3 linked regions of the Macaca mulatta genome follow. The protein of the gene in region 1 purifies or fractionates together with the protein of each later gene. This does not show direct contact. Links are inferred from orthologs where the notes say so. Each region holds a gene or a part of one and is shown in the gene's direction. Other genes may lie near its edges.

What was found.
Region 2: the proteins of MYCBP2 (region 1) and FBXO45 purify together in Homo sapiens (affinity purification with western blotting; 7 studies listed by BioGRID and IntAct, with this or other methods). This does not show direct contact. The link is inferred for Macaca mulatta from reciprocal best matches to the Homo sapiens genes MYCBP2 and FBXO45.
Region 3: the proteins of MYCBP2 (region 1) and FBXW7 purify together in Homo sapiens (affinity purification with mass spectrometry; 6 studies listed by BioGRID and IntAct, counting the BioPlex papers as one, with this or other methods). This does not show direct contact. The link is inferred for Macaca mulatta from reciprocal best matches to the Homo sapiens genes MYCBP2 and FBXW7.

What each region holds. Positions count from the first base shown.
Region 1 is NC_133422.1:71,888,423-71,898,597, reverse strand, and holds part of MYCBP2 (E3 ubiquitin-protein ligase MYCBP2), read left to right. Parts: intron 1-3,940; coding exon 3,941-5,584; intron 5,585-6,460; coding exon 6,461-6,630; intron 6,631-7,232; coding exon 7,233-7,477; intron 7,478-9,516; coding exon 9,517-9,684; intron 9,685-10,175. UniProt on the Homo sapiens protein: Atypical E3 ubiquitin-protein ligase which specifically mediates ubiquitination of threonine and serine residues on target proteins, instead of ubiquitinating lysine residues.
Region 2 is NC_133407.1:2,108,324-2,118,498, forward strand, and holds part of FBXO45 (F-box/SPRY domain-containing protein 1), read left to right. Parts: intron 1-4,651; coding exon 4,652-5,008; intron 5,009-10,175. UniProt on the Homo sapiens protein: Component of E3 ubiquitin ligase complex consisting of FBXO45, MYCBP2 and SKP1. Functions in substrate recognition but also plays an important role in assembly of the complex.
Region 3 is NC_133410.1:160,923,603-160,933,777, reverse strand, and holds part of FBXW7 (F-box/WD repeat-containing protein 7), read left to right. Parts: intron 1-1,426; coding exon 1,427-1,550; intron 1,551-3,248; coding exon 3,249-3,385; intron 3,386-4,330; coding exon 4,331-4,444; intron 4,445-5,711; coding exon 5,712-5,893; intron 5,894-7,751; coding exon 7,752-7,977; intron 7,978-9,560; coding exon 9,561-9,771; intron 9,772-10,175. UniProt on the Homo sapiens protein: Substrate recognition component of a SCF (SKP1-CUL1-F-box protein) E3 ubiquitin-protein ligase complex which mediates the ubiquitination and subsequent proteasomal degradation of target proteins.

The sequences.
Region 1 (10,175 bases):
ATTACTCTTATTTAATTTTAAAACTTTATGAGATCTTTAAAACAGGTATATAGAAAGAAAGAATTACCTAATGGGGGGAATTTTTAAAACCATTTTTATCAGAAAAAGATGATATATGTGCAAGGCATAAAGCACATTTTTTAGTCTTAAACTTGTTATGTAATATAAAAATCACTTTACTATTTTAGTTTTTTGTGAGAAACACTGATAATGAACTTAAAGTTTTTAAGTTTAAATTAGTTATTAGGACCCGTGTGTTTGTTTATATCTATATGTCAACCTACCTGTCCTGTCTAGCATAAATTTTTCTAATATTGTTTTCCTAGTAACTAAGTTTTAATATTTTAAGCTTAGAAATGTTTAAGCTGTTGACAATTGACAAAATTTCAGACAATTTAAAAATATGATTTTGGTCTTTTAAAACCCTACAGATGCCTACTTAAATATTTTGTCTTAAAGTATTATTTAATTAAATTTAAATCTTGTAAATATTTTAAAATCTTGTATTTAAAGAAAATTTTATCAAAAAGAACTTTTACAGCAATGCCTAACATATTGTGTGAGTTTCTCAACTACTGATTTTCTTTTTTTCTTAGAAATAGATAAAATAGGTATATATTTCTCATTATACAATTGACGGTATAAACATATAAATAGGAAATATAAAAATAGAGTAAATAGTATTGTACAACCTGTGCTATATAGTATACAGTATTGTGTGTAATAGCATATAGTATCATGTAACCGATATATACTATATATCATGCCATGTGATATATGCATGTAGTATTACGATATAGTACGATCCTGATAATTTATGATTTTGGCATGAAAAAATATGTGGGTAAGTGAATGAATACTTACCATTTAACATGTTTAGTAACATTTAATTTGCTTGCCCTAAGTTTCTATCCTGTCATTATTTCTTCAAGATTCCTTTAAAGTTAGAAAAATGTTTGCCTATTATCACTTAAATTTAAAAATACAGTCATTAAATAAATTAGGAGATGAATGTGAAAGTTTTATGTATAGTCTGAAGATTTTTAGCAAACTATTTGTTTATATTTGTTGATATTTTGAGCAGCCACAACATAATAATTTTAGTAATAATATGCTGCAAAACATTTGAAACACAAATGAAGAAGATAAACATAAATTAGCACTTGGGCTTACCCCACTTAACAAGCATAGTTTTTTTAATATATAAAATATATTTTGGAAAAATAAATTTTTCAAGAAGATTTAGTTATTGTTTGAGAAATACATCAGAGAAAGAAACGTTTCTGCCATTATTTATGTGCTTAAACTTCAACAGGTATTTAGCTGTCACCACTTACAGATCTTAAGAAAATATTCACCACTATTAGAGATATAATAAGATATACAGATGCCTATTCTTTCTAACACCATGTAATAAACTTTATTGCTCACGTATGACAAGGTGGTGTTCCTGATATTTGGCAGATTCCATTTTTCAGGCAACCACAGAGGTTGTTTTCATGATGAGTAAATACCTACCATCGTAAGTGCATGCATTCCTAGAATAGAGGTATCATCAGCAGGTGTTCACCATTCCTTTGCTTGCAGCTGTTGTGCAGGTCAGCCACTGGGACACATCTGACACAGGGAGTAGGTAATCTTTGTCACAAACCCTTCCCATTTGTTAGAAATCCTACACAAGTTGTCCTTTTTTATAAATTAGAGAGAAAACCTCTTTCAGTTCACAGACGGATTTTTTGGAGTAAGGGATACCAAATATAAAAGACTTACTAATTGTTTGTCTAGATTCCCAATATGTGTGGTTCAGTTTCTGAAATAAATGTAATGATAAAGGTGATAAACATGTCTCCAGCTGTCAGATTAATAACAAAAAACAAATACTCCAAACATCACATACTCAAAATTAATGGCCATGACTACTGATGTTTAATCTATGAAATATAATTTGTTTACCAAGTTTGCCGTATACTGTTACTAGGTCAGTAAGATTAGATGGGCAGCAATTTTTTAAACTACTTTTGAACAGTTTGAGGGTACTTATTTGTAGATCACCTCTGTTTATCTGTGTTCTCCCAAGACAGCATTGATAGTTAGAATTCTAAATTGGGATTTTTTAACCCTTTTTTCAAAATTTAGCCCCATCTGTTAATACTCTATTTATAAAACAGAGCATATAATATGATAAAGGAGGTTCATGATTGAATAATGAAGCTTTGCAAGAAACTAAAAAGCATTATGTTTTAGTTACTTTTTTTCATCCAAAGAACAGGAAAATTTATCCTAAATATTGGCATTTTGCAATTAAACATTTAGTTCATCAGTGTGCCCTATCTAAAGTACTTGCCATACTCTATTATTTCACCATGTAATTACTCAACATGCAAGCATCTAACCCTCACACATCAGTAACTACTGTCACCTCTGTCCTGTGGCCTTGGGAGCCTTAATTCTAAAAAGTAGACTTCTAGAGAAGCTGAATACTTGGGAGTAGCAGAAGAAAAAAAAAATCAAGAAAATTGGAATATATTACTCATTCAACAAATATTTATTGAATACCTACTGTATTCCTGGACTCATTCATAGTATTACATAAGTGAAGAGTAACAGACAAAAATACCTGCCCTTGACAAAAATGGGGGCAGATTCTCCAGCACTACTGTCCTGAGCCATAGAGAACTAGAGCGTGACTATACACACTTAACACATGCACACAAGCATAAAAAACATTTTTCTACATAATCTGAATTTGTTCACTTCCTTTTTTCTTTAAAAAAAAAAAAAAAAACCTGCCATTAGAACCAGTTAACAAATGCACCTTAATTTCCTAGGAACTCTCTTTGAAAAAATATGAATACTTCCAGATAGGTTTATGGATTTTCAGTTTCTTATACCACTTGAAACCCCTCAGTCAGATTGCTTTTCTCCTAACAACTAACTGGTATCACTTGCACTAAGAGTAGAAGTTTTTATTTTAAGGAGGAAAGGTGATGTTGAAGTTTGTACCGTTTACTTGGGTCACAGACAGCCTGGCTCTAATGCCTCAAAGAAAAGCATAAAATAGAATGAAGGAGAGACACTAAATGAAGCCAGGATGCTAAAAACAATTAATGTCCATGCAGAAATATCTAATGGTTTGCTTTAGAAAAGGGAGGTAATTCTTCTTTTCATCCTGTTTTTCTGTCATTCTCCTGACTCCTTGTTTTGAGGGTCCACAGTTCAGACTTTTACTACTCATTCTGAGGATCCACCATTTCTGTGGTTTCCAAGGGGACACAGCCTCTGAGTTCTAAGCAGCTAAGCTTACTGAACTTTTGGAGTGTAACCTGTTTATAAGTAATTAAATAATAGCTTTAGGGCATTCATGTGCTCATTATAAACTAGTCTAATCTGATCATAAAACAGAGTGCCTCTTTGGCAACTCTTTATTAGCCTAATCGTATTTATGCATACACTTAAAAATTATAATTGTGTCTATGCATAAATTCATTTCTCTAATTCAACAAAACCCATACCATTGCCCTAAGGATGCGACATATCACTCTGCTGGAAATTTAGCGCTACTTCACATTTAAAATACAAGTTTTAACATTAAATAATTTCTTATTCCCCAAAAAATTAATTTCTCTTTCTAGTCTCTCACTGAATTTAAATTCTAACTAGTTATTGCACTAGGGCAGAGGTTGAGATATCACTGATAGTTCACACTGAGTTTGTTCAGCCTGTTTTGCATCCATGAAAATAGTTTTTGGTGGTAATGGTTGTGTAATGATGTGTAGAAATTTTATTGGAAATATTTCCCCCAGAATTCTTCAAGTGTTTTAGTATGTGTGACAAACAATAAGAATTTCGTAGCAATGTTTTTTATTTCAGTGTTTAGTGGCTAAATCATTACTAAGTTATAATTTTATTAATAAGTTTCACTATAAAATGGACCATACAGGTGATCGAGGAAACATCTCAACATCTTCTAGACCAGCTTCTACATCAGGAAAATCAGAGCTGTCCTCTAAACACAGCAGATCACTTAAACCTGATGGACATATGAGCCGGACTACTGCTGATCAGAAGAAGCCAAGGGGCACAGACAGTTTATCAGCTAGTGAATCCCTCATCTTAAAATCTGATGCTGCAAAGTTGAGGTCAGATTCCCATAGTAGGTCATTGTCCCCTAACCATAACACCTTGCAGACATTGAAATCTGATGGGAGGATGCCTTCTAGCTCCAGAGCTGAATCCCCAGGACCAGGTTCTCGGTTGTCATCTCCTAAGCCAAAGACTCTCCCAGCCAACAGGTCTAGCCCATCAGGTGCTAGTTCTCCACGCTCCTCCTCACCACATGATAAAAATCTACCTCAAAAAAGTACTGCTCCTGTTAAGACAAAACTTGATCCTCCTCGGGAACGTTCCAAATCAGACTCTTACACACTTGATCCAGATACCCTCCGCAAGAAGAAAATGCCCCTCACAGAACCTTTGAGGGGACGGTCAACATCACCAAAACCAAAATCAGTACCAAAGGATTCTACAGATTCCCCAGGATCTGAAAATAGAGCTCCCTCTCCCCATGTGGTACAGGAAAACCTCCACAGTGAGGTGGTCGAAGTCTGCACCTCAAGTACTTTAAAAACAAATAGTCTAACAGACAGCACCTGCGACGACAGCAGTGAATTTAAGAGTGTGGATGAAGGTTCAAATAAAGTTCATTTTAGCATTGGAAAAGCACCACTGAAAGATGAACAGGAAATGAGAGCATCCCCCAAAATAAGTCGAAAATGTGCTAATAGACACACCAGGCCCAAAAAAGAAAAATCGAGTTTTCTTTTCAAAGGAGATGGATCCAAGCCTTTAGAGCCAGCCAAGCAAGCCATGTCTCCTTCTGTGGCCGAATGTGCCAGAGCTGTGTTTGCTTCCTTCCTCTGGCATGAAGGCATAGTACATGATGCAATGGCTTGTTCTTCTTTCCTAAAGTTTCATCCTGAACTTTCCAAAGAACATGCTCCTATAAGGAGTAGTTTAAATAGCCAACAGCCTACAGAGGAAAAAGAAACCAAGTTAAAAAATAGACATTCGTTGGAAATATCATCTGCACTGAATATGTTTAATATTGCACCCCATGGACCAGATATATCTAAGATGGGTAGCATCAACAAAAACAAGGTATTATCTATGCTTAAGGAACCACCTCTGCATGAAAAATGCGAGGATGGGAAAACTGAGACCACTTTTGAAATGTCCATGCATCACACAATGAAGTCTAAATCTCCTCTTCCCTTAACTTTACAACATTTAGTGGCTTTTTGGGAAGACATCTCTTTGGCTACTATCAAAGCTGCTTCCCAGAATATGATTTTTCCAAGTCCTGGTTCCTGTGCAGTTCTTAAAAAGAAAGAGTGTGAGAAAGAGAATAAGAAGGCCAAAAAGGAAAAAAAGAAAAAAGAAAAGGCAGAAGTGAGGCCCAGGGGTAATTTGTTTGGAGAGATGGCCCAGCTGGCGGTAGGAGGACCAGAGAAAGATACCATCTGTGAACTGTGTGGGGAGTCACATCCGTACCCAGTGACCTATCACATGAGACAAGCTCACCCAGGTAAATGATACTGGCGAATGTATGTATAAGTACTTCTTTCTTTACTGAACCGGATCACTTCATTTGAGCTGTTATATGAATTTTGGCAAAGGATAGGGAATTTATAGTATCTTAAAGTACATTATCAGTACAGGGTTTTGCAAAAAACAGATAAAGAAATTCTAATATTATGATGACAAGGTCATTTAGTGCTATTTCACTTTCATGTAGCATGTTTTAAAAAAATTTATGTGTTACCCAAAGGGTGTGCCATTAATGTGTCTGTCTCACACAACAGAATCAGTGGCGTGCCCATACACATGGGGCATCTCCTTTGATTTTACTATTTTCCTGTTCAGAATTGCAAATTAAATTAGATTATATTGATTTCGATAGGCTTTTTCCTATGGAAGTGATACTGTTTTATCAGAAGACTGCATTTTCAGTAAATGTAATGATTTCTGTAACATTGACTAATATTCCAAATTCACCTAATACAAATTTGTATTTGTAATTTTTTTCTTTGTCTACATATTATACTTCAAATGTTTTATGTGACTTCTGAAAATATATCATTGTTATAGAACTTTTTTACTTGTTTTGTCTAATTTTATTGACATAATTAAGTATATCTAAATGTACCTATAGTCTACCTCTCTTTTAATCTGCCTGAATAGAAACTAAGTATCTCTCATATTTGGGGTATCGTTTAATTAATTGCTTTTTGATCAAGTAAGCTATTTTTCTGATATAGTTAATAGCCTGAAAAATCAGATATCTATTTCAGTATTTTGCTTTCTTTGAGAAGGTAAATCTGTCGTTAATCTATGAGTAATAAGGATCAAACTATTAAGGACACTTGGAGTGTTAAATATTTATTTTTGGTATTGTTTCAAGGTTGTGGCCGATATGCTGGTGGACAAGGTTACAATAGCATTGGGCATTTTTGTGGAGGATGGGCTGGTAACTGTGGTGATGGTGGCATAGGAGGAAGCACTTGGTATCTGGTATGTGATCGCTGTAGAGAAAAATACCTCCGTGAAAAACAAGCTGCTGCAAGGGAGAAGGTATTTTATTCCATTCGGAGCTATAGTTTTAATGATATGGATACACTTTATAAAAATAGCTTTTTATGATCTTATTACATCAGATAATTCCGCATAGTTGATATAAAAGATCAGCTTTTACAATGGAAATCATATACAAATTTAATATTTGTACTACGTCAGCTGCTTTTAATTTTAAAAATTAACTATATATTGGAATAACACTAGATAACCTCTGCTACCTGTTTTTTTGGCTCCTTTGTTTTCCTATTCCATAGCTACTCTCTCTTTTCCTTATTCACTCTAGTGGCTAACCTAACTAAAAAATTTCACTGAATACACACAGATGATTTACTTTTTAAAAAAATGAATTATATTTAGATTTAACTAGTTAGGTGTTAAATTTTTCTGAAGAAAGAAAGGAAGTATAGTTTGTGTTTAATACAGAATAGTCAGCCCAGGATGAATATGAAGTGAATGTTGTTTTTTTATAATCTTAGTATTTTAAAATAGCTTTACAAGTGTTTAATAATTTTTATTGGAAACTCAAAATACTTAGCTTAAGGAACGAAATATTTTAATATAAGTCAGAAAAGATTACTTTGATTTTTTTTCTTTGCCAGGTCAAACAATCTAGGAGAAAACCAATGCAAGTCAAGACCCCTCGTGCCTTGCCCACCATGGAAGCTCACCAGGTGATTAAAGCCAATGCACTCTTCCTGCTCTCCCTGAGCAGTGCAGCCGAACCGAGCATTCTGTGTTACCATCCTGCAAAGCCATTCCAATCTCAGTTGCCCAGCGTGAAAGAAGGCATTTCTGAGGATCTTCCTGTGAAAATGCCTTGTCTCTACCTTCAGACATTAGCTAGGTAATAAAATTTTGTTGTTGTTTTTTAATCACCTTTGGATTAACAGTGATTGTTTATTGATATCTAGGGTAGTTCAGTATTTGACCTATACTTTATTAGATACTATGTACTGTAAAGAAACTTCCAGGCATTTATTTTTTTGAGTTGCCTTGACTAACATAATGACTTTATGGTAGTAGGTATTTAAAAAACTATAAAAATGCTTCATCAATTTACATTGTTACTAATACAAAACATGTCTTAGAAAATAAGACTATAGCTATCTTTCACTCTTTGGTAGGCTGACTTCAGTCTGTTAGTGTGAAATGCTGAAGTAGAAAAAAGTTGGTGTTTTCTTAGCAGTCTTTTATGTCATAAATTATTCATTGTTAGCATTTAAATGAATACTAACTGGGCACCTGCCAGCCTTGTGCTAGGCCCTGAATGAATGAATGAATGAATATAACAAAATCCTGGCTTCTATGTACTCATACTGTGATGTCAAGTCAGACATGTCAGTGAAACATTTGAAATGCCATGTGAGGAGTGCTACAATAGAAGTATGTATGTAGGATGCTGTTACAGCATAAAAGATGGAGAGTATCTGAATCTTCCCAAGGAAATCAGAAAAGGCTTCCCAGAGGGTCTGACCCTTTAGTGGAGTCTTAAAGGATAAATAGAAACCTGTCAGGCAAGTGATGGGAAGAAAGCAACGCCTGGAAGAATAACCCAGGTGAGTAAAGACACAAATGAAATCTCATTACACATTTGAGGAATCACAGGTTGTTAAAGGACTGACTACTGGAGGAAATGTGTGAAAGCCCGTTCAGAATGATTGGTTCACCCAAGTAACGTCGGGCCCTGTAGCCCAGGTTAAGATTGCATTTTATCCCATGAGCAGAGGAAACAGTGGAAAAATTTTAAACAGAGAAATACATGAATTGGTTTGCAATTAAAAGATCACTGTAGAATGTGGAAGCTAATGTGGAGACTAGATAAAAGTGCATTACTAGAGATAGAGAGAAACCTGTTAGTATTCTATTTTCATATATTGGACCTGAATGGTGCAGCCTATACTTTCACACATCATGCACTGACACTCCAAAAGAGCCTTTCATATACCAAAATCAGATTTTTTTCATCAGCTGACAAATGAAGATGTCTAGATATTGCCTGCTGACATGGCTTGCCAACCAACAGTTCCATTTTGGAAATTGTCCTCTTTGTGTGGCAGAGTTGTGTGATTTTTTTAAATTTTGTGCTTACTATTACAATAAAATGAATAAGCAACAAAAATGAAAACGTGAGACTAAATACATTTGAGACGGAGGTGGAAATCATCAGGTATGCCAAATACAGTAGATCTTTAGTGTGAAGCATACCACTCAGTGGACTTAGGTTAGCAACTATTTATTCATTTTGAAAAGGAAAGAATCAAATTGTAAAACGTGAAAAATGCTCACACAGCATTATTACAGACTTTTTTTCTTTTTAGCTCTCTGGGGAATGGGCACCCCCTCCACCCTGAACCACAGAAAATTTCATATATCTAATATTTTTCAAATATGATCTTATGTATGTTCCTACCCAAAAAAGTAACTGCCTGTATTTCAGTGGTCTGTGCAAGAAATAATAAGCACGAACCAAGGCAGTGGTGATAGGGAATGAGAAGAGAGAATGGCTCTGAGAGGAAACCTAATATCATGGGCTTGAAAGATGATGATGGTAGAGGGCTAAGCCTACTACAACACTGGAAATATTTTAGCTTAAGCACCTGGATGGTTGGTGGGATCATTCACCAAAACACTGGAAGATGGAAAAGCTCTCAAAAGGAAAGAAACTTAGTTCACTTTTGGATTTGAAATGTTTGTGGTACCTGAAATGTTGATGAATAACATTATCAGACTTTTATTTTCACCTACCTACATCTACAATTATTTTAATACTTTGCCTTTAACTGTGATTTACGTGTGCTGCTTTTCCTGTTATGAAGGAGATTAAAAATGGAGAGGATCTGTATTGCCATCATACTTTAAGTTATTGGGTTTGATTTAATGCAGGCATCATCATGAAAATTTTGTGGGCTATCAAGATGACAACCTATTCCAGGATGAAATGAGATACCTACGTTCAACATCTGTACCTGCCCCATATATATCAGTAACTCCTGATGCAAGTCCTAACGTATTTGAAGAGCCAGAGAGCAATATGAAGTCTATGCCACCAAGGTATTTTAGTTCTCTCCTGTTTGTTGAATAGCTAGTGTTTGGTGGAAGAAAGACTTTGAACTAGAAAAGAGTCCTTTTCTAGTTGTTGTTTCTAGTTGTTTCTACTTGTTGTTTACAGTGCCTCCTAACTTAGGTATGGTAGTATCAGAGTAAAGAGCTTCTCGAAAAGCTGAATAGAAACGTGTTATAATAATATAATACACAAGAAAATAGAGGCCAGGTGTTGTGGCTCACAACTGTAATCCCAGCACTTTGGGAGGCCAAGGCGGGTTAGATCACCTGAGGTCAGGAGTTCGAGACCAGTCTGACCAACATGGTGAAACCCTGTCTCTACTAAAAATACAAAAGATTAGCCAAGTATGGTGACACACACCTGTAATCCCAGCTACTCAGGAGGCTGAGGCAGGAGAATTGCTTGAACCTGGCAGACAGAGGTTACAGTGAGCTGAGATCATACCACTGAACTCCAGCTTGAGAAAAAAAAAAGAGTA
Region 2 (10,175 bases), on another chromosome or scaffold:
AGGAGCCTGGATAACAGAGAAGGACAGGAAAAGATTTAGGACAGCATAAAACAGGAAAGTGGAGTTTGTTAGTCTGTTTAGTTTTTTTTTTTTTTTTTTTAAGTTCCTGTTTTACATATTTCCCCCGTAGCATTATTTCAGTCATATTTGGCATCTGATGAGAATTATCTAAAGTTCAGACTTACATTTTAAGCTAGGTCTTCATGCTGCTTTTGCCATAACAAAATCCAGGTTGTGCATGGGACTGTGAGGCTATGGATTGTTTTTAATTTATTAATTTGATCTTTATTTTCCCTTTTTTTTTTTTTTTTTTTAAGACGGAGTCTCGCTCTGTCACCCAGGCTGGAGTGCAGTGGCGCGATTTCAGCTCACTGCAACCTCCACCTCCTGGGTTCAAGCGATTCTCCTGCCTCAGCCTCCCAAGTAGCTGGGACTACAGGCACCTGCCACTACGTCCAGCTGATTTTGGTATTTTTAGTAGAGACGGGGTTTCACCATGTTGGCCAGGACAGTCTCGATCTCTCTTTTTTTTTTTTTTTTTTTTGAGACAGAGTCTCGCTCTGCCGCCCAGGCTGGAGTGCAGTGGTCGGATCTCAGCTCACTGCAAGCTCCACCTCCCGGGTTCACGCCATTCTCCTGCCTCAGCCTCCCGAGTAGCTGGGACTACAGGCACCCACCACCTCGCCCGGCTAGTTTTTTGTATTTTTTTTTAGTACAAACGGGGTTTCACCGTGTTAGCCAGGATGGTCTCGATCTCCTGACCTCGTGATCCGCCCGCCTCGGCCTCCCAAAGTGCTGGGATTACAGGTGTGAGCCACCATGCCTGGCCTGTTTTCCCATTTCGTATGAAGTTTCCAGTATCTGTTTCTAAAAAACAAAGACAATGTAATCACAGTATGCTTATCACATCTAAATATAAATTTACATTAATTCCTTAATATCAAAAATTCAGTGTTCAAATTGCCAGTTGTCTCATAAATGTTAAATGTTGCATTTTAGGCTGGGCACGGTGGCTCAAGCCTGTAATCCCAGCACTTTGGGAGGCCGAGACGGGCGGATCACGAGGTCAGGAGATGGAGACCATCCTGGTGAACACGGTGAAACCCCGTCTCTACTAAAAAATACAAAAACCTAGCCGGGCAAGGTGGCGGGCGCCTGTAGTCCCAGCTACTTGGGAGACTGAGGCAGGAGAATGGCGTAAACCTGGGAGGCTGAGCTTGCAGTGAGCTGAGATCCCGCCACTGCACTCCAGCCTGGGCGACAGAGCGAGACTCCGTTTCAAAAAAAAAAAAAAAGTTGCATTTTAAACTTATGTTTTATATAATCAAGATCTATATAAGGGTCCCATGGCAAAGGTTGGTGTGTCTCTTAAGGCTGTTTTAGTCTACATATTCACTCACCATCTCCCCAACCTCCCATCTTATTTGTTGAGGAAACCAGGTTGTTTACTCTCAGCTCGATTTTGCTGATTTCATTATCGTGGTGTTGCTTGACATGTTCTACTGTCCTCTGTTTCCCATAGAGGTCTGATCAATTTAGATTAGATTAGATTTTTTTGCAAGTTATTTTTTACTAGAATTAGTGGTTAAAGATGTGTTAGAAAATAAGAGCTACTAAATTGTGACGCAGTACAGAAAGTCGTGGGTAAGCACTCAGCAGAGGGAGAAACAAAGGGAATTGGGTGGCCCTGGTTAAGAATAGCTTAGTAGGCCGGGCTCCGTGGCTCATGCCTGTAATCCCAGCACTTTGGGAGGCCAAGGTGGGTGAATCACGAGGTCAGGAGATCGAGACTATCCTGGCTGACACAGGGAAACCCCATCTCTACTAAAAATAGGAAAAATTAACCGGGCGTGGTGGTGGGCACCTGTAGTCCCAGCTACTCTGGAGGCTGAGGCAGGAGAATGGTGTGAACCCGGGAGGCGGAGCTTGCAGTGAGCCGAGATCGCGCCACTGCACTCCAGCTTGGGCGACAAAGCGAGAGACTCCGTCTCAAAAAAAAAAAGTAGCTTAATAGAGAGGGGGTCTTAGAGAATGTGTGGGAGAAGAAAACACTTATAATACTGTAAGCAAGAACATCATCATCAAGGTAGAAAGGGAAATAGGAAGAATCAGATTTGGAGGGCTTTGAAAGCCAGACAGAAGAATTTGCAGTTGGTAATGGTACCAAGTATGGAACTACCAAAGGTTATAGAACTGGGAAGAGATGTAGTAAAGGTGCTGTTTTAGAAAGACAGGTCTGGAAATAATTCAGATAGAGAGTTGAGAACCGAGTTTGGAGAATTTGGTGATGGTGGAGGAGGGGTGGTTACCAAAAAAGGAAGTGATACAGGATCAGTCCAGGGAAATAGGAAGATGTCATAGAAGTTCGAGGAAGAGAGGGCTGGGTGTGGTGACTCACGCCTGTAATCCCAGCACTTGGGGAGGCTGAGGCAGGCGGTTTACCTGAGGCCAGGAGTTTGAGACCACCCTGGCCAACATGGAGAAACCCTGTCTCTACTAAAAATTCAAAAATTAGCCAGGTGTGGTGGTCCACGTCTGTAATCCCATTTACTTGGGGGAGGCTGAGACAGGAGAATCGCTTGAACCCAGGAGGCAGAGGTTGCAGTGAGCTGAGATTGAGCCACTGCACTCCAGACTAGGTGACAGAGCGAGACTCTGTCTCAAAAAAAAAAAAAAAAAAAAAAAGTTTGAGGAAGAGGCTGTCAATAGTGTCAGTGTGCAATTGGAATTTATAAGAATTGGGGAATAGGCATAGGGAAATATTAATTATTTTATGGTGAATTATTGATATTACTCTCTTGAGTTATTTAGATAGTATTTGCTATTTTGGGGACATGTTCCTTCCCCCATTTAATCTCCTTTATCTCCTTTTCTTTCTTTTTTTTTTTTTTTTTTTTGAGACAGGGTCTTGCTCTGTCACCCAGGCTGGAGTGCAGTGGTGCAATTTCAGCTCACTGCATCCTCTGCCTCCTGGGCTCAAGCATTGCTTCTGCCTCAGCCTCCCAAGTAGCTGGGATTACAAGCGTGCACCACCATGCCCAGCTAATTTTTTGTATTTTTACTGGAGTTGGAGTTTCGCCGCATTGCCCAGGCTGGTCTTGAACTCCAAGTTCAAGCGATCTGCCCACCTTGCCTTCCCAAAGTGCTGGGATTGCAGGGGTGAGCCACCGCGCCCAGCCCCTTCACTGAATCTTATGTTTTGGTCTTATAAGTGCCTTCAAGTATTTTATAATATGAGCAGATAGGAAAAACATTGGGAATGCTTCAGTTTTGTAGCCTCCTTATGAATGCAGGGGATATTGGAAACAGTCCTTTTTAAAATCTGTGCCCTGCAGTACAGCGAAACAGTAGAGTGCCAGCGAGTGGCAAATGAACAGGTGGTGAGGGAGCTGGATACTTGGCCTCTCTTTGGGCCTCTCGCACTCACCCGCGTTGAGATCCTTGAGAAGGACTAGGTGGCCTTTAAGGGTCTTCCTGAATGCTGAGCTTCTGTGACTCTGGAGTTGATTTCTCAGGTTCACCAAAGCATAGGTCCCAGCCTTTCACTGCTTTTGGGTAGTTTGGCTAAAGTAAAGAAGGGATTTTTAAAAAACATACAAACCAGGCAGGCGTAGTGACTCGAACCCGTAACCCCAGCTACTTGGGAGGCTGAGATGGGAGATCACTCGAGCCCAGGAGTTCAAGGCTGCAGTGTGCTACGATTGTACCACTGCACTCCCAGTCTGGGTGACAGCGACCTTGTCTAAAAAAAATTTAAAATACACAAACTAAAAGTTTAAAATTGTTCATGAGAAATTGTTATTGTTTGTATGAAAGAGCTATTTTCATACCCTCTTTATTTTGGAAGTGTAAACTTTTGTTTTTGCTGAAGAGTCAACTAAGTTGTCTTATTGATAGCTTCTCTTTATAAATTCTAGTTACTTGAATCTAGATGCTATCTAGGGGATTATTTGATTTGGTAAAATGAGATTGGTGATTTTTTGTTTATTGTGTAAGTCATACCTGGCAAGCAGGCTGAGGATCTAAAGTAGTTTGTGTTTACTAAAATTTTTCATAAACTTTAGAGTTGCTATGATTAAAGTTTCTATTTTATGTAAAATATAATTATTTTTGATGACAGCATTGCCCATATGAAAACTATGTCTCAACTTTTTGATATAAAAATATCAAATATAAACAAAAGTAGAGAAAATAGTTTGATGAACTTCCTTATACGTATCACCAAGCTTTGCCAATGATTAATTTATGGCCAGTCTAGTTTCATATTTATATTGCACACTTTCCCACTCTATCTCTGGATATTTCAAAGCAATTCCCCCAGATATCATTATTTTATCCATAAACGTTTCAGTATTATCTCTAAGATATAAGGTTTTTTTTTTTTTTTTTTTTTTTGGTATCTTTTGATGTTTTAAGAAGTCTGTTTGAGGAAATACTACAATTTAAAATTTTGGTCAGTGATGAAACGTTTGGCAGTTACTTTTAATGTTATTTATTCTGTTAGTATCCCATCCTGAAACTTTAGCCATTATTTGGAAATACTTGTGTTTTTTAAAATATATAAGTTCATTATTTAAAAACATACATCCTGAAGTTTTTAATATTTAAGAAAAATAACGTTATTTATTTGGTCTATTTTTCATCTTTTTAGATACGTGCTTTTCAACATGCCTTCAGCACTAATGACTGCTCCAGGAATGTCTACATTAAGAAGAATGGCTTTACTTTACATCGAAACCCCATTGCTCAGAGCACTGATGGTGCAAGGACCAAGATTGGTTTCAGTGAGGGCCGCCATGCATGGGAGGTGTGGTGGGAGGGCCCTCTGGGCACTGTGGCAGTGATTGGAATTGCCACGAAACGGGCCCCCATGCAGTGCCAAGGTTATGTGGCATTGCTGGGCAGTGATGACCAGAGCTGGGGCTGGAATCTGGTGGACAATAATCTACTACATAATGGAGAAGTCAATGGCAGTTTTCCACAGTGCAACAATGCACCAAAATATCAGGTGAGAAACGGGTTTTTCTCAAGTATGGGCCTTTGTCAAATCATGCTTTAATTTGTTTTAAATTTACAAATTTTCGTATAGCAGTTTTGTTTTGTCTTTTTGGTAATTTTTATTATTTTTTATTTTTTCAAATACCAAGACTTCAAGTTTTTTTTTTTTTTTTTTTTTTAAATGTTAGGAGGTTATAGTTAATTTTGTTGGGTGTTATATTTTGATTTTGGCTATGCAGGAAAATATTCTTTTTTTTTTTTTTTTTTTTGAGACGGAGTCTCGCGCTGTGTCACCCAGGCTGGAGTGCAGTGGCGCGATCTCGGCTCACTGCAAGCTCCGCCTCCCAGGTTCACGCCATTCTCCTGCCTCAGCCTCCGAGTAGCTGGGACTACAGGCGCCCGCCACCACGCCCGGCTAGTTTTTTGTATTTTTAGTAGAGACGGGGTTTCACCATGTTAGCCAGGATGGTCTTGATCTCCTGACCTCGTGATCCACCCGCCTCGGCCTCCCAAAGTGCTGGGATTACAGGCTTGAGCCACCGCGCCCGGCCTTTTTTTTTTTTTTTAAGAATCTCGCTCTGTCACCCAGGCTGCAGTGCAGTGGTGTGACCTCAGCTCACTGCAACCTCCGCCTCCCAGGTTCAAGCAATTCTCTGCCTCAGCCTCCCGAGTAGTTGAGATTACAGGCACCTGCCACCATGCCCAGCTAATTTTTGTATTTTTCATAGAGATGGGGTTTAACCATCTTGGCCAGGCTGGTCTTGAACTCCTGACCTCGTGATTCACCCGCCTTGGCCTCCCAAAGTGCTGGAATTACAGGCGTGAGCCACCACGCCCGGCCTCAAGGAGATTTTTTGACAGTTTTTAAATAAATATGTAAATGATCTTTCTCAATATGTGTTTCCTAATACAAGTTTAAGCAGCCTATCTTTGCTCCAGATCAGGGGTTGGCAAACCTTTTGGTAACGGCCAGGCAGTAATATTTTAAGCTTTGCAGTCCGTATGGTCTCTGTCACAACTTTTTTTTTTTAATGTCATTTTCAAGGTAAGGATCTGTCACAACTTGCAACTCTATAGTACAAAAGCAGTCATCGATAATACGTAAACGAATGAACGTGGCCGTATTCCACAGACCTTGTTTGTGGGCTGCGGGACAGATTGGGTCCAGGGGCCGTAGTTTGCCAGTTCATGCTCTGTATCAAGCTTGTCCACCCCACAGCCTGCAGGTAGCCACGATGGCTTTGATTGCCACCCAATGCAAATTCATAAACTTTCTTAAAACATTGTGAGAGTTTTTTGCAATTTTTTGTTTTTAAAGGTGATTGCTGTCTTTAGTGTTAGTATATTTTATGTGTGGTCCAAAACAATTCTTCCGTTGTGGTCCAGGGAAGCCAAAAGATTGAATACCCCTGCTCTAGATGGTCATCTTTCCTATATCATGGCACTTCCACATCTTTTTCTAGGCTCCTTACCCCAGTAAGTACATCTCTGTGGATGCACATGCACCATACCCTCCGCCTGCGGATTCAGAGCCCCTGGAGGCATCAGTGATTTCTGTAGAGACAGGCAGATTCAGGCAAACTGCTGTATTTTTTATTCTTTTCATCTTAGGCTTAAGGCATACTCATTTGACTCAAGTTAAAATTATAGTCCTATTTGTAAAAGCCATATTTATTACTATAGACCCAGCAGGGTGTAATATATAATAATCTGATAAGAAATTGGAAGTCTTTAAAGAACTATAGGCTGCATATTTCAGAGCCACATGTGGCGTGAAAGTTCCAGCCTCGGTAATGACCTCAAGTCAGGCATACTGAACCAAAGAACCAAAACTACATCCTATTTCCTGAGGTATAAAAGCTGGAAGGATTTTTTTTTCATAGAATGTTTCCTCACTATCCTTTTAGGCTCTGCAGATACTATAAGGAGAAGGGTGTGTAGACTTTATCACTAAAAAGAAAGTCCTATCACTTACCCTTGTGATGATTTTGTAAGTGAAAGCCCTTACTTAAGTCTATGTTTTTCAGAGAACATGCTTATGGTTTCAGTCCTTTTAAATTTATTGAGATTTGTTTTATTCTAATATGTGGTCTTTCTTGATGAGTGTCCCATGTGTGCTTGAAAAAATGTATATTCTTTTGTTGAATGGAATATTTTGTAAATGAGAATTAGGTGAAGTCGATTGATAATATTTAAGTCTTATATAGTGTTACTGATTTTTTTTTACCCCTTCTATCATTACTGAAAGGAGTATTGAAATCTCCATCTATGCTTACCAATTTGTCTCTTTCCTCTTTTAGTTCTGTCAGTGTTTGCTTCATGTATTTTGGAGCTCTGTTACTACTGGTGCATATACATTTCTAATTGTTATATCTCCCTGCCTGATTTATTCTTTTATTATGAAATGACCTCCTTTGACTCTAGTAATCCTCTGTCAGTCTGTCTTTGTATTTAAAGTGGAGCTCCTACACAGCATATTGTTGGATCTTGATTTTTATCTAACCCAGTCTCTGTCTCTGACTTTTTTTTTTGAGATGGAGTTTCACTCTTGTTGCCCAGGCTGGAGTGCAATGGCATGATCTCGGCTCACCGCAACCTCCGCCTCCCGGGTCCCGGTTCAAGCAGTTCTCCTGCCTCAGCCTCCTGGGTAGCTGGGATTACAGGCATGCGCCACCTCACCCAGCTAATTTTTGTATTTTTAGTAGAGACAGGGTTTCACCATGTTGGCCAGACTGGTCTCGAACTTCTGACCTCGTGATCCGCCCACCTCAGCCTCCCAAAGTCATGAGATTACAAGCGTGAACCACCATGCCCAGTGAGACGGGGTTTCTCCATGTTGGTCAGGCTGGTCTCGAACTCCCAACCTCAAGTGATCCACCTGCCTCGACCTCCCAAAGTGCTGGGATTACAGGCGTGAGCCACCTCACCCAGCTTCGGTCTCTGACTTTTAAGTGTTTAGTTCATTTACCTTTAATGTAAGTGTTGGACTGCTTGATGTTGTCCTTATCTCTGCCTCTGAAGCTGTGTGTTGTTTTTTTTTCCCCAACCTTGTTTCTCTCTAATCTTTGCATTAGATAATTTCTTTTCTTTCCTTTCTTTTTTTTTTTTTTTTGAGATACGGTCTTGCCCTGACGCCCCAGCTGGAGTGGTGCAGTGGTGCGATGATCTTGGCTCACTGAAACCTGCCTCCCGGGCTCAAGCGATCCTCCCACTTCAGCCTCCAGAGTAGCTGGGACTACAGTTGCTCCCCACCAATGCCCGGCTAATATTTGTATTTTTTGTAGAGACAGGGTTTTGCCATTTTGCCCAGGCTGGTCTCAAACTCTTGAGCTCAAGCAGCTGCCTGCCTCAGCCTCCCAAAGTGCTGAGATTACAGGTGTGAACCACAGTGCTTGACCTAAATTAGATAATTTGTGTTGTTCTGTATTCAAGGTTATAAATTTTTTTCTTTTGCCATCTCACCTCTGCTATTGAGCCGGGCTAGTAAATTTTGCTTATTGTACACTTCAGCTTTAGAATTTTTTTTTTTTCTTTTTCTTTTTTTTTTTTTTTTGAGACAGAGTCTCGCTCTGGTGCCAGACTGGAGTGTAGTGGCGCAATCTGGGCTCACTGCAACCGCCGACTCCCGGGTTCAAGCGATTCTTCTGCCTCAGCCACCTGAGTAGCTGGGACTACAGGCACGTGCCACCATGCCCAGCTAATTTTTGTATTTTTAGTAGAGACGGGATTTCACCATGTTGGCCAGGATGGTCTCGATCTCTTGACCTCGTGATCCGCCCGCCTCGGCCTCCCAAAGTGAAAGTGCTGGGATTACAGGTGTGAGCCACTGCACCCGGCCTGGTTCTTTTTTAGAGCAAATTTCCTTTTCTCTATTGAGATTCCTTGTTTGTTTATATTATATTTTTTAAAAATTATTTGGACATATTTATAATAGCTGCTTTGAAGTCTTTGCCAAATCGAACACTTAGGCCCACTTGGGTTCAGCTTCTATTGATTGCTCTTTTTTCCCCTAAATATGAATCACACTTTCCTGTTTCTTTTCATATCTAGTAATTTTTTCATTGAAACCTAGATGTGTAGATAATACGTAGTAGTAACTCCTGAATGTTTTGTTTCTAGAAACTGCTTTATTCTAAAAAGTATAGGTTTTCTTGTTTTAGTAGGCAGTTAACTTGCCTCTACTCAAACTATAAACTCTGTTTCTTGTGATGTACAGCAGCTAACGTCTGCTCAGTGTTTTCAGCTTTGCTGCTTTCTCAGTCCTGGAGGTTGACCCTGTGCCTTTGTAATATAGTGGTCATTCAGGGATTTGGGCAGTTAATTCTCAGATTTTGGGGTTCATCCTTTCTGTGGTTCTGTTGCTTCTGGAGTTCCTCCTCTAAGTTTCCAGTTGCTCTGCTGTCTCCCAAGTTTTACCCCCTGACACCTAAAGATGGTAAGGCTTCTGCTTTCTCCACCCTGTGCTTTGTGCATGCCGTATGCTCAAAGATGAAGCAAATTTGCAGATTTCACCAGGAGTAATTGTTACTTAGTTTCAACTTCTGTAAAATAGGGATAAAAATTCCTAGGATTAGTGTGAGGATTAAATGGGATAATACAAATAAGACACAAAACAAATACCCAACAGAATTAGCTTTTCATTTCTACTTTGTTGTTAATATTTTGTTGGTATGAGTGGTGGTGGTGGTGATGATGATTTGGAGGTTCTTAGATCCATAAAATGGGTTAATCTGTGAGGTGGGCAAAGGGAGGAAAAAAGCAGATGTTGGCAGTTACTGTTAACAGGAAACACAGTGAAGGAAAGTAAATGACAATAGCAGGGGTTATCATAATCAGGAAGAATTAAATTTTGATTGCAAACATTAGGACTTTCTCTTTCCAATTTTGTAGATGCAACATCCTTTTATAAATGCAGACCATAAAGATGAAACATCCTTTTTTTTTTTTTTTTGCTTACTTTTCCAAATGAGAAAAATCTGGATATATTCTGCTTCCAGTTTCGTTTAATAATCAGTGCTGCTGTTTTTTATAACAGGTGTTTCAGAGTTGTGAACCACAAATTGACTATTTAATAAGCCTATTCTATATTCTGTGTTAGAATTTGTAGCCAGATTGGATTATTCATGATTCCACATTATATGTGGAACTGCTCTGTAAACTTTAAAAGCTGTGTCAGG
Region 3 (10,175 bases), on another chromosome or scaffold:
TGAATACCGGCTGGTTGGAGTATTTTGTATACACAGTATTTACTGAGTATACTGAATATATAATATTCAACAAATACATAGTAAATATGTAATGAATGGTAAGTTTTTGCTGTTGTTGTTGAGACAGAATCTTGCTCTGTCACCCAGGCTGGAGTGCAGCGACGTGATCTTGACTCACTGCAACCTCCACCTGCCGGATTCAAGTGATTCTTGTGCCTCAGCCTCCCGAGTAGCTGGGATTATAAGTGTGCACCACCACACCTGGCAAATTTTTGTATTTTTAGGAGAGATGGGGTTTCACCACATTGGCCAAGCTGGTGTCGAACTTCTGGCCTCGAGTGATCCACCCACCTCGGCCTCCCAAAGTGCTGGTATTACAGGAGTGAGCCACCACACCAGCCCATGATGAACTCCTTATATATGTAAAGTCATTGGGAAAGCATAATTTATATTATATAATTTATATTTAGCATCAAAAATAATTAAAATTGTGCTTTTACTCCCTATATGACCCTTGACCCTTTAATGGATAATTTGTTTTAGTTCTTGTCATTTAGTTCTTGTGAAAACTGAACTTAATTGCTCTATTTAAATGGTTTTCCTTGTATCATAATTTAAAATTTTATGTGATATGTGAGGCTATTTGAATAAACAGAGGCTATAATTCCCCTTTTTTTCTCTTTATTTTTCCTCTTTATTTGAACTGACACACTGAAAAAAATTAATAGTTTACAAGTATTATAAACAAAATTTTTTAATCAGTGGTATACCAAAGAGTTAGCTCAAATATACAACTCTGTGTGGCCCATCAAGAAGATCCTTATAAGTAATGTAAAGTAATTAGAACTCAATTACTTTTATATGTCTATGGAATGGTTTAATAATTGTCCCCCTTTGTCATTTACAGTCAAGGATGTAAGTGTTTCAAAAGTTCATTATGATAATAAACACTTTGATTTGAAGACTGTTAATTATGATATATATCAATCAGAAATGATCTGAAGTCATGCCACACAGAATATATAAAAATTATTTCTTGTCTGTCAGGCAAGCATTTAGGTCCTATCTTCAGTGAATTTACATTGTAGTAGGATAGAGAACAAAGTTAAACAACTAATAACATTTTTTTAAAAAAGAATTATTAAGTTGAGGCTCACAGAGCAAGGCAAGAGCAGAGACAGAGAGCTTTAATCAGTAGTCCCTGAAGAGGTAAAGAGTAGAGTGAAGTTCATAAAAACCATAAGGTGTGTGTGTGTTTTTTATCTGGTATATATTTGTTAGGACTGAAGTTACTGCCTTTCATAATTTTAAAAATCAGAGTGCAGAATTATATTTATCAAGTATCTCATCCTGTGGAGAATAATTAACTTATATAATATATATATTTATTTAAATATGGGTATTATACTATGCATTTTTTTCTTAGTTGGCACTCTATGTGCTTTCATTCCTGGAACCCAAAGACCTGCTACAAGCGGCTCAGACATGTCGCTATTGGAGAATTTTGGCTGAAGACAACCTTCTCTGGAGAGAGAAATGCAAAGAAGAGGGTAAGGTTCAAAATTGCACAGAGAATATGTTTATACTTTGAAAAGCAGAGTGATTCTGAAAACAAGTAGAAAAAATAAAAATAATATTCACCTACTTATAATAAAATCCACAGATTATTCTACACATTGAAATGAGCCAAATCTTACAGCTAACCCCTTTAACAAGCAATATAACTAATAGCAAATATATCTGATTTGCTTCCTATCACTAGTAGAATTAATAAACAATGAAAAAGTCAAGATGTGGATGATTTAAAGGAAACCCCAAAATTACATTTCCAATTAAATATCCAAATATTTAGTATTAATTAATTCTTTTCATAAATGTTTATTGAACACCTCCTATGAGCCAGACATTTCTTCAAGGTGGGGGATATAGCAGTGAACTGAAGTTCTCTTTCTGTCATGGAGCTTATGTTCTTGAAACCTATTTTTTTCCTTAGTAGAGGAATAGTTATCCTTTGTATTGGGAGAGCTGTTTTGTTGTTTTTATTGTTGTTTTCCCCAGCAGACATCCAGAAAAATATTTTTGAAAAAATATAAAAGTATTATGTGCCTCAGAAGCAAACTTTTTTTAGAAAGAATCATAGAGCATGATGCAGGTACTCTATAGGTGATCATTCCGTTCATGGTGGTTATAGTCAAGTGGGAAGCATTGATGGTTAGTCCAGTTAATAAAGGTTTGAGGTAAAGATCCAGGGTACTTGGTTTCTCATCCTGCTTTTCACCTCTGTAGGACTTGGATTAATCAGTGAAATCTTCCTTCTTAAGTATCTGTATACATAAAGTGGGATTAATCTCTGCCTTCCCTTCTCCCATATAATCATTTTTTTAATGATCTTTTAAAAATTGTAATAACATATATGTAGTTTATCAATTTAACCATTTTTATATGTACATTTCAGTGGCATTAAGTACATTCACGTTGTTCTGCAACTATCACTATCATCTGTGTTCAGAACTTCATCTTCCTCACATGAAACTCCATGCCCCCTGTTATAACTCCCCATTATTCCTCTCCACAGCCTCTGGCAACCACCCTTTTACTTTCTGTCTCTATGAGTTTGACTACTCTAGCTACCTCATATAAGTGAAATCATACAATATTTTTCCTTTTGTAATCAGCTTATTTCACTTAGTGTAATGTCTTCAAGGTTCATCCATGTCATAGCATGTGTCAGAATTTCCTTTATTCCATTGTGTATATGTATCTAATGCTACATTTTGTTTATCCATCTGTCGATGGGCCCTTGGATTGCTTGCACCTTTTAGTTATTATGAGTCATCCTGCTATGAACATAGGTGTACAGATAACTGTTTAAGGCTCTGCCTTTAATTGTTTTGCTTATGTATCCAGAAATGGAATTGCTAGATCATATGTTAATTCTGTGTTTGTTTTGGGGAACCACCAGACTATTTTCCACAGCAGCTGCACCATTTGCACAAGCATTCCAATTTCCTCACATCTTCACCAGCATCTTTTAGAATCATTTTGAGAAATGAAATAGTGAATACAAAAATATGCCATATAAAGTGCAAACTTTACATTATTGCTATATACTGTGATAACAGTATTAGAAATTGGACAATGTCTTACATTTCAGTGGTTTCGAGCAGAGAGAAAGATGGAATACTTTATAAAATGTATAATTGTTATTGTTGGTGAAGGCAATTTACTCTTGACCTCTAACACTTCAGGGATTGATGAACCGTTGCACATCAAGAGAAGAAAAGTAATAAAACCAGGTTTCATACACAGTCCATGGAAAAGTGCATACATCAGACAGCACAGAATTGATACTAACTGGAGGCGAGGAGAACTCAAATCTCCTAAGGTAACTGAACTCTGCACAGTGTAACAGAAACCATTAATCAGTGTTAGTACCTAGTGTACTATTTCACTTCTTGGCAAACTATAATTTGACACTTCTCTTCTGTGGAAAGAAAACCATATATTTTAAAATAACTGAAAGTATTACTGACAGTATTCTTTTATTGCTAATTAATCTGACAACTAATTGTGCTTGAACAAAAGATAAGTTAAATTGAGTATCTTTTTATCTTACTTAAATGAAAATCTCTCAATATCCTGTTGAATTGTACTGTGTCATACACATTCTACCTGAGAATTTGCTGCCTTCTCTGATCACATAGTCCAAACATGATTTTTTGAGGAGTGTCTGTGTTTTGGTATTGGTGGCTTTCGTGTGTCTTATTTTTATAAATTGAAGCATAATTCTGGTTTTCTGTATTAAAACGTTTCAAATATATAAAGAATGTTAAGAACACTTTAAATTATTGAGCATATTTTTACAACTGGAAAAAAACAGTTTGGGGAGACATTGTGATACTAATATGTATATGTTATAGATTTTTTTGTTTTGAGAATGCTAATAATTGTTACTCTTTGTGGTTAATAGATGCGTATTTTGTTCTTGTGTGTCAAAGTTGTAAAAATTAGAGGCATATTCTGGTTTGAACAGATAAAATAGATTATTGTCAAATACATTGGTGTTCGAACCATCTTCATGAGGTCTTGATGCAGTAAAACTTTAATAGTTGATGTTTTGAGTATAAATAATAGACTATGGAAACAATAAAATGTTTAATTCTGAATTCGTCAGCCAGGAAAAATAATGCTTTATATTTTATATAAATTATAATTCTAGAGATAGACTACAAATTACCGTTCCTGTTTGTGCCTTCATTTTTCTCTTCACCAGTGTTTTAAAGAACATAATTTAATTAACATATTTCTAATCTGTACATCTATCTTATAGGTGCTGAAAGGACATGATGATCATGTGATCACATGCTTACAGTTTTGTGGTAACCGAATAGTTAGTGGTTCTGATGACAACACTCTAAAAGTTTGGTCAGCAGTCACGGGCAAAGTAAGTTCACTCTTCCTACACTTCACAAAGTCACAATTTTGTGTATAGCATTGCAAGTAGCAACTGGAAAAAAGAAAATCAGAATTCATTCTTGATTCTCAATTATTGGGATAGCAAATATCAGAGCTCGTAACTTAGCTTTTTCCCCCATATTTATGAAAATCAATGGCATGAGGATAATGATGTTTCTCATGATAGAGGTTTCATTAATTTTTTTTCATTTACATAGTTTGTGACAGATATTTTAACATTTTCAAGGGTGCTTTATATTTTTCTTGGCTCAATTTTTCCCCACTTTTATTTACTGTCTAAGTTATACCTCATTACTTTGTAATGTTTTTCAAAAGTATGGTTGAGGGGTATTTATTTTTCCTTATGAACTGCTTTGTTGATAACCTACCTATAGTTTAGAACTTAATAAATCATGTTAATTTATACTTATCTCAAACCTTTGTGAGATGAGAGTGGACTAGGCATTTAAATGTAAGTTTGAAGAAAAAAGTAGCCCAAGCAATCAGCTTGACCGTGTACCATATCATACCTTAATGATTCTCTAGCAAATATTTATTTGTATCTGTCCAGTAGAGAATATTTTCATGAATTAAGTAATTGCCACCTCAAAAATAACAGAAGAGAGTCTGAAAACAAAAAAAAATCCATGTCTTTTAAAATGTCTTTTACCATGGTGCTTCTTGGCAAGTATCTTATAAATACGCCAAGTCAGATGTTAAAATTTTTTAAAGCAGCTTTATATTTCCATAGTGTAATATTAGTTTGGGATTTATTTCAGGGCCTTAATGTCTGTCTTTACTTGTCTAGAAGTAGCTTCACTGGCTCCTAAATACTGCCCTGGGGCAGATTCAGATGAAATGTGGTATGTAGCCACACCCAATACTGTTGGCATACTTTCATTGAATCTATTCCCATGGAAGAAACCCAGTTGCAATTTCAGTATTTTTTCATCAAAGAGACCAGAGCTATCATAATTGCTTTCATATCATGTTTCCTTTTTATTATATCATATTTTATATCATATGTTTGCTTTCTACATGTTCTTCAATTGCTTGTGCTTATATAAATTTATAATGCTTTGAATAAACAAAACTATAAATAGTGATGGGATCATTTTATACGGATGTGTAAAATAATATTTTCTGAAGAGCCAAACGAATAAATAACTTTACTCCAAATTTTAATGAGCTATTAAATTTTATTTAAATCACTTTTCCTTTCTACCCAAAAGTAATCATCTTAAGTGTTTTTCCAGTGTCTGAGAACATTAGTGGGACATACAGGTGGAGTATGGTCATCACAAATGAGAGACAACATCATCATTAGTGGATCTACCGATCGGACTCTCAAAGTGTGGAATGCAGAGACTGGAGAATGTATACACACCTTATATGGGCATACTTCCACAGTGCGTTGTATGCATCTTCATGAAAAAAGGTAAGGGAAAATCTTATCGTGGTTGGGACTTCTTCCTCTATTATTTGTGAATTTGGGCCCTTTCTGTATAGAGTTACTGAAATAGTGACAATGAGCTCTTAAATTACATTTAATTATTAGACTTCAGATGGTTCTATTCTAGGAAAGCCATAGTGTTTTGTCTTAAAATTGGGGATTGTCTGTAAGTTTCCTTTTTCATTTGCTAGTGTTGTCGGCTTCCTCTTTGAAGCTCTCTACTCTCTAATCCTTTTTATTGTTCTGTATCTTTGATGACTCATCATGTTCAAGCAGAAATCATTTTTTCTCTCTCTTTTTTTGATATTCTTACTTCTGCAAGTGGGACAAATTCAGGCTTCAAGCGTCTGAGCCTTTTTAAATTACCTACCCACCTTACACCCACCCTATCTCTTAAGTCGAGGCAAAAGCTGAGGCCTGTGAGTAATTTGTTCTCTCATTCTGAACTAGTGTCACAACTTTCTAACTTGGTCATCTTACATTTTATATGCTGACATACAGTCCTTTTATAATTATGATAGTGTCACTGCCCAGTTCTTAAGTCTTTGTGAGCCTACTGTTGACTAACGAATTAAGGAAGAAATCCTCAATCCAGTTTTCAAAATGGTGTCTGCCAAACTAGATTGCTTGACTTTTTCTTCTCAGTGCCTTTGCTGTTACTTTTATCTCCTCCTGTAAAGCCCTCCTATTAAAATCCTATCTTTCTATTATCTTCATCATACCCCTGTTAAACAAGTGTGATTTCTGCCTCATTTGTCAAAAAAGGTCTCTCTGAAAGGTCCTTACAGTGAATCAATGGCAGTCTTTACCTTTAATTCTGTCTATAGCATCTTCTTATATTAAGAACCATTACATTAAGCAGATTTCACACCAGATTTGTAATATGTTTTCATTGTGTTCCATTGTGTTCTGACTTAAATCTCAACCCTTTAATTTTCTAATTTTTCCAATATGGAAACTGTGATATTTCTTTTATCTCTTCAGAATGAATGACATAAGGATACCTGAGTTTTCAGCTTTGTTTTGTAATCCAAAAGTGATTACAGTATTTGCATGTTGCTCTGGTTTTCAGGAGAGTGTAGCGCTAATGTTGAACCACATGTTTAAGGGATAGCCATTGTTTTTAAAAATGTACATATCTTTAAAGATCCATATCAATATTTTTATAGCCTATTGCATACTTATAAATCTAATCATTAAAAGCATAAGCAGCCTGTGTTTGAGGACATGTCTAAAACTGGTTAATTTTTACTGGAATGTATAGTGTAAACACAAATCTGCAGCTGTTTAAATTCCAAATCCTGACTTGTTTTGTTGTATAACCTTTATTGAATTTTTTACCTAATCACAAGGGAATATATGCATCCATAATTGAAATTTTGGAAAATGGCAAAGAACATAAAGAAGAAAATTTAAATTCTTTAAACTACTACCACCTAGAGTTCTCCCATTAACATTTTATACACATGCCCACATTAACATTTTATTTCTAAAATCAAAATCTTATTGTATATATTTAGAGGCAGCTACTGCTGCTTTTAAAAAAAAATACAGTACAGTGGTTTTCAAACTCAGTCCCACAGAACCTCGAGGTGCTGGAACTAAGGTCCACAGGTCAGGGAACCAAGCATGAGGCATTCTAGGCTTCCCAACTTCCCATTCCCTTATTGTATGTTTATATACCAAGGTTTTACATAGGATTTCTTTTGACAAGAGTTGTTCCTGTGTAAGAAAAAGAAAGCTAAAAAACCTTGACTAAATCTATCATGTTTTCTCATATTATTAAAAATTCTAAACATGGGTTTTTTTGTTTTGTTTTGTTTTTCTGTTTTTCCCTCTGCAGAGTTGTTAGCGGTTCCCGAGATGCCACTCTTAGGGTTTGGGATATTGAGACAGGCCAGTGTTTACATGTTTTGATGGGTCATGTTGCAGCAGTCCGCTGTGTTCAATATGATGGCAGGAGGGTTGTTAGTGGAGCATATGATTTTATGGTAAAGGTGTGGGATCCAGAGACTGAAACCTGTCTACACACGTTGCAGGGGCATACTAATAGAGTCTATTCATTACAGGTAAGATCTCTTATCTCTCCCTTAAATGCTCTCCTGATGAATCATAAGGTTGTTTTACTCAGATAATCGCTGTCAAATTGCTGCTCCAGTACAATCCAAAAAAGATTAACCAGATTATTCTGCTGTTTTTATATAAATTTCAAAATTATTTAGATGCTTTCAATTTTCTGTGATCTATTTCTCCTCTAAATACAAATATTTGTCTTGTAACCTGACAATTTGGGACTCTAAGGTTTGCTATATTAATTAATGGTTAAATAGTCTCATAGGAGAGTAACCTGGATTTTAAGAAACTCCTTTGCAGAGGATTAATATGGCCCAAAGCTGACCCTTTGCTTTGATAGCTGAAAGTTGATGGACCATGTAATTGTGATTCCATCCCCATTCAAAGTGGAAATAGATCCTTTCTGCATAAAGCACTCTACTGTCCCAGGCCCACTGATTTGTAGTCATAAGGAAGTAAAGTTGACTAAACAGATTTTTTTTTTTTTTTGGTTTACATTTCAAGCCCATATCCTTGAAAACATTGCCATATTTTAAGATCATTGACTAGATGAATAGGAAGTTTAGAATATGAATCTTGTTTTGTTTCCAGAAAGGCAACATTTTCAATGTAAAAATATTTCCTACAGCCTATATAGTTTATTTATCAGTTATTGCCCATTAATGTTCAGCAAATTAGTACATAATCTTAGTACTGTCAATTCTGTTCTTAGGATATTTGTTTCTTTGTCGAAGGAATATTGTCCATGTCATGAAATATTGACAATATGATCAAGATGTTTGCTAAATTAGAAAAGGTGATGAATTTGGAGGAAGGGAAATTGGCTGCACCTGTTTGTGATATTCTCAGAAGCTTAATGAATATAATATTCTAATTTAAATAACCCCATTTGATTGAGAAAAGAGGTAGCCACATTATTATATAGAAATGATAGATTGTTGTTGACTTTTGGTGTAGCTGGGAAGCTGGAGAAGAGGTGGTATGTAGTTTGCTTTTGATAACAAAATGCCACCTCTTCTGATTCCAGATACAGTTATCTTTTGGCACATTTCCTAATTAGCATTAGGTTCTTATAAATGAAATTTTATTTTACACACGGTTTTTAATGGAACTTGCTTTTGAACATCACGAAAGTTATCTCTAGCCCTTTTCATGCCTTAAGTGCTGATAAGCACTCCGTTTATCATAAGCTGTGTCATTAGTCTTAGCTTCCTAGTGGGAAGGAAAACTCAAATAGCAATTCTCTCAGTCACCCATGATATATAGCTAGGTGGGGCCAGATGATTTGAAAATTAATATATTGTTCATTTTAGGTGCTTTGTTTTCATTTTAAGTTGCTTCTGCATCTAGTTTGAAGCAGCTTGGCATAAAGATGAACCTTTCTGATAGAAAGGTGTGAGAACATACATTGTAGAATGGCTTGGCGTGCACTTTATCCTCATTGCCACTTTACCTTAGTACCTCATTTTGTTCCTGGCATTACCCATTTCCCATCCTCTTCCCCCTTTCCTACTAGGATTAAGGTCAGTAATATGAAGAGCATCCGTACTTCTATTCTAATAAACTGTGTCTTTTGTAGTTTGATGGTATCCATGTGGTGAGTGGATCTCTTGATACATCAATTCGCGTTTGGGATGTGGAGACAGGGAATTGCATTCACACGTTAACAGGGCACCAGTCGTTAACAAGTGGAATGGAACTCAAAGACAATATTCTTGTCTCTGGGAATGCAGATTCTACAGTTAAAATCTGGGATATCAAAACAGGACAGTGTTTACAAACATTGCAAGGTAAGTATTAGTTACGTTTAGTTTTGTTCATTAAAAATGAGATCATTATTCAACGGAAATATGGAGCTTTAGCATTACAAAAAGAGTCAACCTCATACGGAATGATTACTTCAGAAAAGTTTATGCATATTTTCACCCTGACTTACAGAACTAGTCTACTCTTGAGGAAATGTTTTGAACTGTGTTTTTAATATATAATATAAAATTGTTTAATCACTTCCTGCATGTTCAGTTGACTCTACTTAACCTTTAAGAACAGTGAGAAGAAAGATCTTGGCTATATCATAGAAGCAACATACTCATTATGTTTTTTGATTGGCCATTGCATTTTGAATTTGTAGTCCAATTTTGAAGGGCTACCTTATTGAAAAAAACAAAAGCATCCTTGATAGAAAATTTATTTG